Linked DNA regions of Macaca fascicularis. The protein of the gene in region 1 purifies or fractionates together with the protein of each later gene. This does not show direct contact. Links are inferred from orthologs where the notes say so. Each region holds a gene or a part of one and is shown in the gene's direction. Other genes may lie near its edges.

Region 1 (3,647 bases):
TCTGTGTGCCTTACACACATTAACTCATTTAATATAGCACATGCCCTTAATGATCCCCATGGAAGTGGCAAAGCCAAGACTTAGACCCAGACCATCTAGTTCTAGAGCCCAAGGACCCTGGCAGATGAGTGTTCTTATGTTCGCATGTTTTAGGTGACAAAACTGAGGCCCAGAGAGGGGAAGGGGCTTGCCCAAGGTCACACAACTGGAAGGCCGCACAGGCGGGACTCAAGCCCAGGCCCGTCTGACTCCAGAGCCTGTGCCAATCACTTTTGTGTTTTTGGTTTTTTCTTTGTTTGTTTGTTTTTGAGACAGGCTCACTCTGTCGCCCAGGCTGGAGTGCAGTGGTGCAGTGTCAGCTTACTGCAACCTCTGCCTCCCGGGCTCAAGCGATTCCCATGCTTTAGCCTCCTGAGTAGCTGGAGTTACAGGTGCCCGCCATCACAGCAGGCTAATTTTTGTATTTTTAGTAGAGATGGGGTTTTGCCGTGTTGACCAGCCTGGTCTCGAACTCCTGACCTCAAGTGATCAGCCCACCTTGGCCGCCCAAAGTGCTGGGATTACAGGCGTGAGCTACTGTGCCCGGCTGGCAATCACTTCTACTCGGCACCTCAGTGGATTTCAGGCCCTCAGTGCTGGGGGCGCCCTGAGCAGACAGCGGCTGAGTCAGAAGCTTGGCCTTGAAAGATCTCCCTGTCTGAGGTGAGGGAGGTTGAGGTTGAGGACCAGAATTAGGCACTGTAGAAGGCTTTACTGGAACATGACCCTGAACTGGATAGACATTTTATGGATGGGCAGAGAGAGAAAGTATTGTGACCCCATTTTACAGAAGGGGAAAGTAAAGCCCAGAGGAAGTGGTGGAGGATCAGCAGCAGAACTGGAACCGGCTGACTCTAAAGCTGTGGCCTTTGTGTGGCCTGCTCCGCCTGGAGAAGACACACATGGAAACTGAGGCAGAGCCAGCTGACTCCCAACCTGTGCTGTCTTTCCACTTTGAGCTCCCTGCAGGCAGCAGCGCGATGGCTCTTCCTCCATTGCCCTGCCAGCTCTGTCACCGCAGAGTGGCTGCTACCCAAGTTTTGAGCCTGGCTTTGCCAGTGCCTCCCCCACGTGACTTTGGAAGGTTTCTTCCCTTCTCTGACCCTACTTGCCAACAAATGTGTGGTACGTACTTCAGTACATACCTGTTGAATATTATATTCCCCGTCTAACAGATGAGGAGATTGAGACTCTAAGTCATTTGTTCAAAGTCACACAGCTGAGAGAGCAAAACTGGGTCTGGAACCCAGGGCTACTTGATCCCCAGACCACTTTTAAGCACTCTTGCCATACTGCCCTTCTGTGACCGATTAGTGATGTCTGCCACAGGCATCAGCCTGGTCGGGGGAGGCATGGATCTGCTCTGCTGGCCAGGCCTACGGTAGAAACTTCTTAGGCTGGGCACAGTGGCTCATGCCTGTAATCCCAGCACTTTGGGAGGCCGAGGCAGGTGGATCACCTGAGGTCAGGAGTTTGAGACCAGCCTGGCCAACATGGTGATACCCCGTCTCTACTAAGAATACAAAGATTAGCCGGGTGTGGTGGTACATGCCTGTAATCCCAGCTACTCAGGGGGCTGAGGCAGAAGAATCGCTTGAACCCGGGAGGTGGAGATTGCAGTGAGCTGAGATCACACCATTGCACTGCAGGCTGGGCAACAAGAGCAAAACTCCATCTCCAAAAAAAAAAAAAAAAAAGAAACTTAACCATTGCCTGTGGTGCTCAGCTCCTGGCCTGTTGTCTGAATGCCGCCTGCATGGCATTGGTGGATGCAGGTGTGCCCATGCGGGCTCTCTTCTGTGGGGTCACCTGCGCCCTAGACTCTGATGGGACTCTCGTACTGGATCCTACATCCAAGCAAGAAAAGGTAGGTGTGAAGATTGGGGTGGCTGAAGGGCAGAGGCCAGACAGCTCCCCCTCCCTTCCTCCAGGCCTCACTTCTCTGCAGATAATAGGCTCATGCCACCTCGATCCCACTTAGCAAGGGCTGCTCTTATCGTCGTGGTTCATTTAGCAGCAAGTGCTAGAAACCCAGCTCAAACTTGCTTAATTAGAAAGGAAATGTGGGGCCGGGTGCGGTGGCTCACACCTGTAATCCCAGCACTTTGGAAGGCCGAGGTGGGCAGATCATCTGAGATCAGGAGTTCAAGACCAGCCTGACCAACATGGAGAAACCCCGTCTCTACTAAAAATACAAAATTAGCCAGGTGTGGTGTGGTGGTGCATGCCTGTAATCTCAGCTACTCAGGAGTCTGAGGCAGGAGAATCACCTGCATCCGGGAGGTGGAGGTTGTGGTGAGCCAAGATCGCGCCATTGCACTCCGGCCTGGGCAACAAGAGTGAAACTCCATCTCAAAATATAAATAAATAAACTAGAAAGGAAATGTATGTCCGGGTGTGGTGGCTTACACCTGTAATCCCAGCATTTTGGGAGTCTGAGGCGGGAGATCACCTGAGGCCAGGAGTTCGAGACCAGCCTGGCCGACATGGCGAAACCCCATCTCTACTAAAAATACAAAGGTTGGCTTGGCATGGTGGCACGTGCCTGTAATCCCAGCTACTCGGGAGGCTGAGGCATGAGAATCACTTGAACCCAAAGGGTGGAGGTTGCAGTGAGCTGAGATCGCGCCACTTCACTCCAGCCTGGGTGAAAGAGTGAAACTCCATCTCAAAAAAAAATAAAACCAGGACTTTAAACAGCATCAGGATGTCCTTGCTTCACTTCCCATCCCTGCCTTTCTCTCCACGTCAGCTTCATTCTCTCGGCCAGCATCTCTCCTGAGGCTGGGACTGACCCCTTACGTTCCATTTCCATCTTAAGAGGCTCAAAAGCAAACAAGAAGACAAGAGAGCTTTCCTCGTTGGCTCAGGTGCAGTGTCCTAAGCTCAGGTTATTCTGAGTTTTCTGCCCAGTGCTATAATGGTCCCCTCCAGTCAAGAAGACAGAAACCACTTGGAGAGTTTCAGATGGAGGGAGTTAAATGCAGGGACTTTGTAACAACAGTGTTGGAGGAGCTAGAGGAGGAAAAAGGAACCAGGAGTGACACCCAAAGATGAGAAACCCCTCCCAGACCTGGGCTGAACCTGTGAGCCAGCTCCTGCTCTGTCATGTTGGAGACATCATCTCAATTGGTTCTGCATGCACATAGCATGTCCTGCCTCTGCCCTGGCCACTGAGGTCCAGAACCCACCCCACCTCCATGGCTGTCACACAGCCACGGCCATCAGCGCCTGCCATTGTCAGTGAGGACCAGGGTGCTGCTCTTCTTCCATTCTCCCACCTCATTACTGCTGGAAACTAGCTGGTAAGGGAGTCTGGGACATACAGCTTGCTGGCTTCCAGCCCCTGTGGGGCAGAGCATGGAAGGGTGACTGGGAGGCCGAGAGGCACCAGATAAGTGAGTGGCACTGTGGCTAGCCCCTTGGGGCAGGAATACTAAGCTTGAAAGCCCCTGTCAGAACCGCGTGGTTGGAATAAGGGGCATGGAGTACAGTTCTACAAAGGAAAGGCAGAGGGCTATACCCGGGGAAATAGGGAAGGAGTGGTGTAGACAAAAAATGACTGCGCTTCATGCTTGATAGGTGAGCACCTGGCTGTGGAAAGGGAG
Region 2 (4,150 bases), on another chromosome or scaffold:
ATTAGGGTGGGAGTGTACTGATTTTCCAGTTATGGTCTATCACGGTTTCCCTTTGCCAGGAAAGGGAATTCCCGGACCCCTTGTGCTTCCCAGGTGAGGTCATGCCCCGCCCTGCTCTGTGGGCTCCACCCACTGTCTGAGAAGCCCTAGTGAGATGAACTTGGTACCTCAGTTGGAAATGCAGAAATCACCTGTCTTCTGCCTCACTCACACTGGGAGCTGCAGATTGGAGCTGTTCCTATTCGGCCATCTTGTGACCTCCCCCAAACTTTAAATATTACATACATGGTGCTTGTTCAAAATGCTTTTACATGCATTTAATATATGGACAACTCAGGCATAAATTTTTATCAAATTACGATCATGGAATGACAAGTTACAAATGTTAAGACAATGCTCAATCGCTTATACTAAACTTTCAACGAACAATATGTACAGTTTCTGTTAATGCCTTTATTTTCTATTATGTTTCTTCTGATTGCATACGTTGAAATGCAATTTTACATTTACTGAAACTAATAATAAAAAATTTGGGCTTGTATTTTGCACATATTTTCCCCATTTTTCTACTAATTCATTTTTACTGTATTATAGAAGTATCTTTTACTGACAGATTGGAAAAACAACCCATTCTTCCCCACGGATAATCTGGGAAGCTGCTCTAAGACGCTGATCTTGAGGCAGACAATAAAAGCGTAGTAACAGTGAGGGCCCTGGAAAAGCTCCCGGGAAAGTAAAAATACAAAGTTTCAGTAACTAAGATTTCTTTCCTGGTTAAATACACTCAACCTGTATTTGGGCTGAGTGTTGGCCGGGTACAAATGTAGACAAAGGTTCCCAGAGTGCCGCCCCAATCCTCTCCCACAACATGGCCCCGAGCTACTCATTTTGAGATTTGCCTTTAGAGAAGAGCGAAGGAGCGGGGGCGTGGCGAGCAGCGTGAGATCATCGGAAAGCGCCCCTCGGCGCGGGCACAGCCGGCGCGTCATTGTCGTCATCGTTGCCCGACCGCTTTCCGGAGACTGTAGTCGAAGGCCCTGAGGTATTTTTCAAAGTTGTACTTTCAGTTTTTCTCCTCCTCCTGTTTAACTCCGCTTTTCCTCTCCTGGGATTCCCCTGTAATCCTCTGGGCAGACTGAGAGAATGGGAGTTTGGCTGCATAGCCTTCCAGGAATGCAGTGTCTCACAGCTCTTCGCTGGGGCAGCATTGCTGCAGGTCCCCCACTTCCGCTTGTTTTGGGGCTGCTTGCAGGCTTTGGCTTACCCCGGCCCCTCATTTCTCTCTCTTGCTCCGGTCTTTCTCTTTTTCTTCGTTTGTTAACCACCCCCTTCTCAACTCTTGGAAGACGAAAAAATTAAAAACAACAACAACAAAAAAAACATGACTTCACAATTTTCAGCTGTCTTCAAATCTTGCGTAAGGAGAGAGGCTAAAGTGGGACGTCTAGGGGAGTCACTTTACTGTGTTAGCTCCGTTTATCATTCACATTCACAGACTGCCTGCCGCTGCAGTATTAGCCCGTCTGAGATAGTGGGCTAATTTCGACCTTTAGCTGAAATCTGTGGTGGGTAATCCAAGAGAGCAGTTTTTCTTGATGACCCGGGAAAGTTCAGTGTAACTAAAACTTGCTTGAAAATACCTTTAATGTCTTCATGTTTGCTGAATACAATTCAGTTTTGGCTTGATACAGACGTATTTGTCGCAATGAGATGTCTGCTATCCACTTATTAACCCATTGGTACTGTCTGATGGTAGACAGAACCAAGACTTAACCGTGATTTTTAAAAAAATTAAATTTAAAATTTTTGTGGTTACATAGTAGGTGTATATATTTATGGGGTACACGAGATGTTTTGATACAGGCAGGCAATGTGTAATAATCACATGGAAAATGGGGCATCCATCCCTTCAGGCACTTACCCTTTGTGTTACAAACAATCCAATTATACTTTTAGTTATTTAACCCTGTATTTTTGATTCAAAATTAACAGATTAGCCCTGTCGAAGTACAGAGAAGTATTTGCGTTTAGTGGAAATGATAGAACTCATTGTTTTGTTGAAAGATAATGATAAGTGTGAATAATGGTTTTTCAAAATAAAACAAAATTCTCAGTCAAAAGATACTACAGCTGCCTTCAGTTAGCTGTGTTGTATGTATCACAGTTCAGAAGTAATGCAATTTTTTTTCTTAACTGCTTTTACCTTTCCAAATGGCTCTTCATATGTATTATCTCAGCTACTGTTTCCAAACAGTTGACCCTTCAAGCATAGCTCTACATAGTCCACAATGGATTAGAGTATTTGATAACTTTCACTTTTGGTAAAATACTATCTAATGTATTGAGGGCTGAGCCAGGCCCTGTTCTGATGGCTTTTATCTATATTATTTATTTAATCTATGCAGCAACCCCATATACTGTTATTTAAGAAATGAGGTGATTGTAATAAGCCACTTCCATATGTTTTGGAAGGTAATTTTGCTGCTTGATTGCTGTAATTTTGGAAATGCTTTGAATTAAACACTGAATAGAAGTAAATTTAATCTAATGTAGTTATTCATCTCAATCTTGAGCAATATCCTCATAATTTATATACTCCTCTATTATTAGACTTCTGGATACATTTATTTTTAGATGTTAATATCTTTTTTAGAAAAGGAAGAAGTCTGTATGTACTCAGGAATTGTACTGTGAGACTGAAGGAGAGTCACAGACAATACTAACATGGAGTCACTGTTTGCCCAAGACAGCAATATTTATTGAGAACTTGTGTGTACATTTCATTGTTATTTTCTCCTGAGATAATGCAGTGCAAAAAAGCCATTCCAGTAATTCATTACGAGTGATAGAATTCTGGTGCAGCAACAGCAAGTGGCTCTCAAGTTCCAAAACACAATCATGTTGGATTTATTCTCAAGCTTAGTTCATAACTGTGTATAATTATTTGGTGTAGAGATGGGAAGAGCCCCAGAACGTACATGATCATATGTTTGTTTGGATCCATGTGGTGACTTTCTATTATCTGTAAGCTCAAACTGTAATCTGATATTAAGAGTTTCCAAAATTAGGTCTTAGGTTACTTTGGTTGGTTTTAGTTAGTTAACAAATAGTTGCTAAATACCTAATACATGACAAGACATTATGTTAGTGATGTGTTCAAAATGTACCTCGACATGAATCTTACCTTGAGGAATAGCCCAGTGAGTAAATAACCAATGGAAAGGTAAGAGCAGAGGAGTGACATGATCTGACTTAGGTTTATTTTATTTTACTTTATGTTTTATTTTGTTTTACTTTACTTTATTGTCTGTTCTTTTGTTTTCTTTTGTTTCCTTTCCTGCCCTGCCCTGCCCCGCCCCGCCCCACCCCACCTCACCCCACCCACTTCTTTTCTTTCGGAGTCTGGCTCTGTTGCCCAGGCTGGAGTGCAGTGGTGCAATCTCAGCTCACTGCAACCTCCGCCTCCTGGGTTCCAACGATTCTCCTGCCTCAGCCTCCTAAGTAGCTGGGATTACAGGCACGTGTCACCACGCCCGGCTAATTTTTTTTGTATTTTTAGTAGAAATGGGGTTTCACCATGTTGGCCAGGCTGGTCTTGAACTTCTGACCTCAGGTGATCTGCCTGTCTTGGCCTCCCAAAGTGCTGGGATTACAGGCGTCAGCCACTGCGCCTGGCCTGACTTAGGTTTTAATAGAATCTTCTGTGGCTTCTGTGTTAAGAATAGTTTGTTGTGGGGTGGGGTACGTGAAAACCATGAGACTAATCATGGAGGTGTTGTAGTTCAGATGAGATGATAACATCTTAATTGGAAAGAAGTGAAGATGGAGAAGCAGTTTAATTTTAGATGTATTTTCTAGGAAAAGCCAATAGAATTGCTTACAGATTGAAAGTGAATTGTAAGAATAAGGTTATTGTCAAAGTTTGGGGCTTGAGCAACTAGAAGAATGAAATTGCCGTTAACTGAGAAATAGAAAACTGTGGGAGGGGCAGGTTTGTGGGAAGATTCGGAGTTCAGTTAAGGAGGTGATAAGTTTGTAATGTCTGTTAGTCATCTAAGCGGAGATGTTGAGTAGGCAGTTAAGTATGTTCATTCCGGACTTCAGAGTGGTCATTGCTGGAAACAGACATTTGAGAGTTGTCAGTGAACAG
Region 3 (3,604 bases), on another chromosome or scaffold:
TTCTGTTGTAGACAAGTCCATCTCATCTGTGAATCCCCTGACAATGAAGGCAAAAGCCCTTTATTTTCTAGCGTTGTTTCTAGGGAAAGGGTCCAGAACTTCAGTGAGATTCTTAAAAGCACTGGGAAACCTTGTAAGAAACAAATCTTCACTTGCGGTTTTTTAATTGAGGTTTAATCTATATGTAGTAAAGTACACAAATATTAAGTATACAGCTTGATGCATTTTTACAGATGTCTGTTACTTTAAGGATCTTAAAGGTGACAGCTTTAATTTTAAAACACTCTATCTTACTTATCTGGCTTGTTTTTACCAGCATTATGAGTAAGGATGAGAACACACCTCCCCTAGACCCCCTTGAGATATTTCCGGGAGCCAGCACGTGAACTATGGTTCGCAGCCTCCTTCTTCCCTGCAGGAAGCCTCTATTCTGATGACATGAGTGACTGGCTCCCTCTGTGTGGCAGCAGAACTCTTGTGTTAGGCAAAACCGACAGGTCCCCTGGCCCTAGCCCTGTCCCTGTCCCTGAGTTAGCTTGCTATTTTTAGAAATGGGGAATCAGGCCGGGCGCAGTGGCTCAAGCCTGTAATCCCAGCACTTTGGGAGGCCGAGACGCGCAGATCACGAGGTCAGGAGATCGAGACCATCCTGGCTAACACGGTGAAACCCCGTCTCTACTAAAAAAACACAAAAAAAACTAGCCGGGCGAGGTGGCGGGCGCCTGTAGTCCCAGCTACTAGGGAGGCTGAGGCAGGAGAATGGCGTAAACCCGGGAGGCGGAGCTTGCAGTGAGCTGAGATCCGGCCACTGCACTCCAGCCTGGGCGACAGAGCCAGACTCCGTCTCAAAAAAAAAAAAAAAAAAAAAAGAAATGGGGAATCAGGTGGGGCTTCTGCCTCCTCTCCTCTTTTCCTCTGATGGGTTGTGGCACATTGAACAACCGCACGTCCCGTGTGTTATGCCCAGTGTCACCTCCATGTGTTGTAACGCCATAGGTCAGTGGGGTGTCATAAGGAAACACAGCAGACTTGTGGAAGCCCAGCCTTGAGTCTGCCTCTGTCATTTACTGACCGTGTTCCTTGGACAAGTTATTTAGTCTCCCCGAGCCTGTTTGCTCATCTCTAAAGAGAGGGTGATGACAGTACCTTTGTCCCAGGGTTACAGAGAGATTGAACGAGATGACGGATGGCCCAGTGCCTGGAGGACAGTAGCACTTTGTCCCCCTTAATAGCGATTTTAGCAATAAAGCCAGCATGAAATTTGTTTTTCATGCCCTTAGATTTGAAACTTATGACTTAGAATGTGTGTACTTCTTAGGTTAACCTGCCCTACATCATCTCATGAAAAGTAAGACAGACTTGGGTGGCTGACTTTGGAGGGTTTTTTTTGTTATATTTGCTTTCATTATAGATCAGCAACCGTTGGAAGCTGGCCCAGGTGCAAGTACAAAAAGACTCTAAAGAAACTGTCAAGAAGAAGGCAGCTGAGCAAACAGGTAGCACTCACTTCCTTGTAACTCAGTCAGCTGTTAAAGGACGGCTGTTGCACATCAGCTGTTTCAGCCACGTGCTGGATACGGCTGTGAATGAAGTAGGCACAGCCCCTGCTCTGTGGGGCTTCCCTTCTGCTGAGGGATGGTGGCCAATCAGTGTCTATCCTGGCAGATGGCAGCAGGTGCTGTGCAGAGAGATGGGTGGGGAGTGCTGGGGGGGTGCTGTAGCTGTCTCGACGGTGGTTGGAGAAGGCAGTCTAATGAATGTGACATTGACGAGACCTGCAGTGAGCTAGAGAAGAGTTCTGGAGCCACAGCACAGCGAGCCCAGAGGCCCTGAGGGTAGTTCACTAGGCATGCTCAGCAGCAGCAAGTGGGCCTGCATGAGCAGAGCGGGTAGAGAAGAGCAGGAAATGGGGAAAGAGCCGGCAGGGGCCCACAGGATGATGCTGCCTTTTACTCTGAGTTCAGAAGCCAGGAGGGTGCTGAGCAGACACAGGGTGGGAAGTGACTGACATGTGGCCCTCTGGCTGCTGTGTCAAGAGCAGACGATAGGTGACAGGATGGGAACCCAGGAAGGGAGAGGAGACATGACAGTGGCCCAGGCAAGAGGGAACAGTGGCCTTGAGACCAGCGTGGGAGCAGAAGAGGTGGCGAGAACCTATCAGAGCCTGGATCTGTCCCGTAGCAAAGCTGACAGCATTTGAGGATGAGGTGGATGTGGCAGGTGAGAGAAAGGAGGGAGTTTTGTTTTTTTTTTTTTGTTTTTTTTGGAGACGGAGTCTGGCTCTGTCGCCCAGGCTGGAGTGCAGTGGCCGGATCTCAGCTCACTGCAAGCTCCGTCTCCCGGGTTCACGCCATTCTCCTGCCTCAGCCTCCCGAGTAGCTGGGACTACAGGCGCCGCCACCTCGCCCAGCTATTTTTTGTATTTCTTAGTAGAGACGGGGTTTCACCGTGTTAGCCAGGATGGTCTCTATCTCCTGACCTCGTGATCCGCCCGTCTCGGCCTCCCAAAGTGCTGGGATTACAGGCTTGAGCCACCGCGCCCGGCCTAAAGGAGGGAGTCTTGGATGAAGATTTTGTCCTGAGCAGCTGGAAAGCTGGAGTTGCTGGCAGCCGAAGTAGCTGGTTTGAGCCAGCTTGTCCACTATGGTGATGGTGATGATCCTGTTAAACGCCCTCAGGTCCACAGGCCACTGAGCATTTGGGTTCACAGGACAGGAGCAGCCAGGGCCAGGGAGAATCAGCTCAAGTGTAGGTGAAGGTGCACAGCGCACCTGAGCCTGAGCCCTCAGGCAGCCTGTCCTGCGGAGATGCGGGACCAGGGAGCTGCGAGGGAGGAGGGATCAGCCATGACAACCCCTGTGGCTAGGCCAAGTCGGAGGAGGATGGAGATGGAGGAGGGTGGTTGCTGGATTCAGCAACTCCAGAGACAGTTCTCTCCCTTGCAGCTGCCCGGGAACAGGCAAAGGAGGCGTGCAAAGCTGCAGCAGAACAGGCCATCTCCGTCCGACAGCAGGTCGCGGTACGTGCCAGCCTTTCTCCTTTTTCCTTTGAAAAACGATGCCCCTCCTTGTGGTCAGGATCTTCCTTGGGTATCTTAGGGGGCTTGCCCTATGCTTTGTATTAAGTCCTGACTTCTTTTCAGTTCACCTCTTTTTTAATTTCTTTTTTTTAAAAAAAAAATAGTGACATGGTCTTACTCTTACCCTGATGCCCAGGCTGAAGTACAGTGGTGCGATTATAGCTCATAGCAGCCTTGTACTCCTGGGCTCAAACGATCCTCCCACCTCAGCCTCCCAAGTAGCTAGGACTACAAGCACGCACCACCATGCCCGGCTACATTTTTTTTCATTTTTCTGTAGAGATAGAGGTCTTGCTATGTTGCCCAGGCTGGTCTCAGACTGCCTAAAGAAGTCCTCCCACCTTGGCCACCCAAAGCACTGGAATTATAGGCATGACCACTGCACCTGGCCTGCTTGCCTTTCTTAAATGACCTCATGTCATTGTCCAGTGAGGAATTGGTTTCAGCTGACCCTGAGTGTTGGTCCGAAGTTCCAGCCATAGCTCCTCTTCCCACCACTGACAGTTCTTCTTACCACTTAGGCAG

The links.
Region 2: the proteins of EXOSC5 (region 1) and C1D purify together in Homo sapiens (affinity purification with mass spectrometry; 4 studies listed by BioGRID and IntAct, counting the BioPlex papers as one, with this or other methods). This does not show direct contact. The link is inferred for Macaca fascicularis from reciprocal best matches to the Homo sapiens genes EXOSC5 and C1D.
Region 3: the proteins of EXOSC5 (region 1) and EXOSC10 purify together in Homo sapiens (co-immunoprecipitation; 8 studies listed by BioGRID and IntAct, with this or other methods). This does not show direct contact. The link is inferred for Macaca fascicularis from reciprocal best matches to the Homo sapiens genes EXOSC5 and EXOSC10.

The regions. Positions count from the first base shown.
Region 1 is NC_088393.1:48,530,759-48,534,405, reverse strand, and holds part of EXOSC5 (exosome complex component RRP46), read left to right. Parts: intron 1-1,765; coding exon 1,766-1,906; intron 1,907-3,621; coding exon 3,622-3,647. UniProt on the Homo sapiens protein: Non-catalytic component of the RNA exosome complex which has 3'->5' exoribonuclease activity and participates in a multitude of cellular RNA processing and degradation events.
Region 2 is NC_088387.1:53,857,350-53,861,499, forward strand, and holds the start of C1D (nuclear nucleic acid-binding protein C1D), read left to right. Parts: upstream 1-1,233; 5' UTR 1,234-1,381; coding exon 1,382-1,417; exon of another isoform or gene 1,418-1,565; intron 1,566-4,150. UniProt on the Homo sapiens protein: Plays a role in the recruitment of the RNA exosome complex to pre-rRNA to mediate the 3'-5' end processing of the 5.8S rRNA; this function may include MPHOSPH6.
Region 3 is NC_088375.1:223,727,959-223,731,562, forward strand, and holds part of EXOSC10 (exosome complex component 10), read left to right. Parts: intron 1-1,411; coding exon 1,412-1,496; intron 1,497-2,945; coding exon 2,946-3,019; intron 3,020-3,604. UniProt on the Homo sapiens protein: Catalytic component of the RNA exosome complex which has 3'->5' exoribonuclease activity and participates in a multitude of cellular RNA processing and degradation events.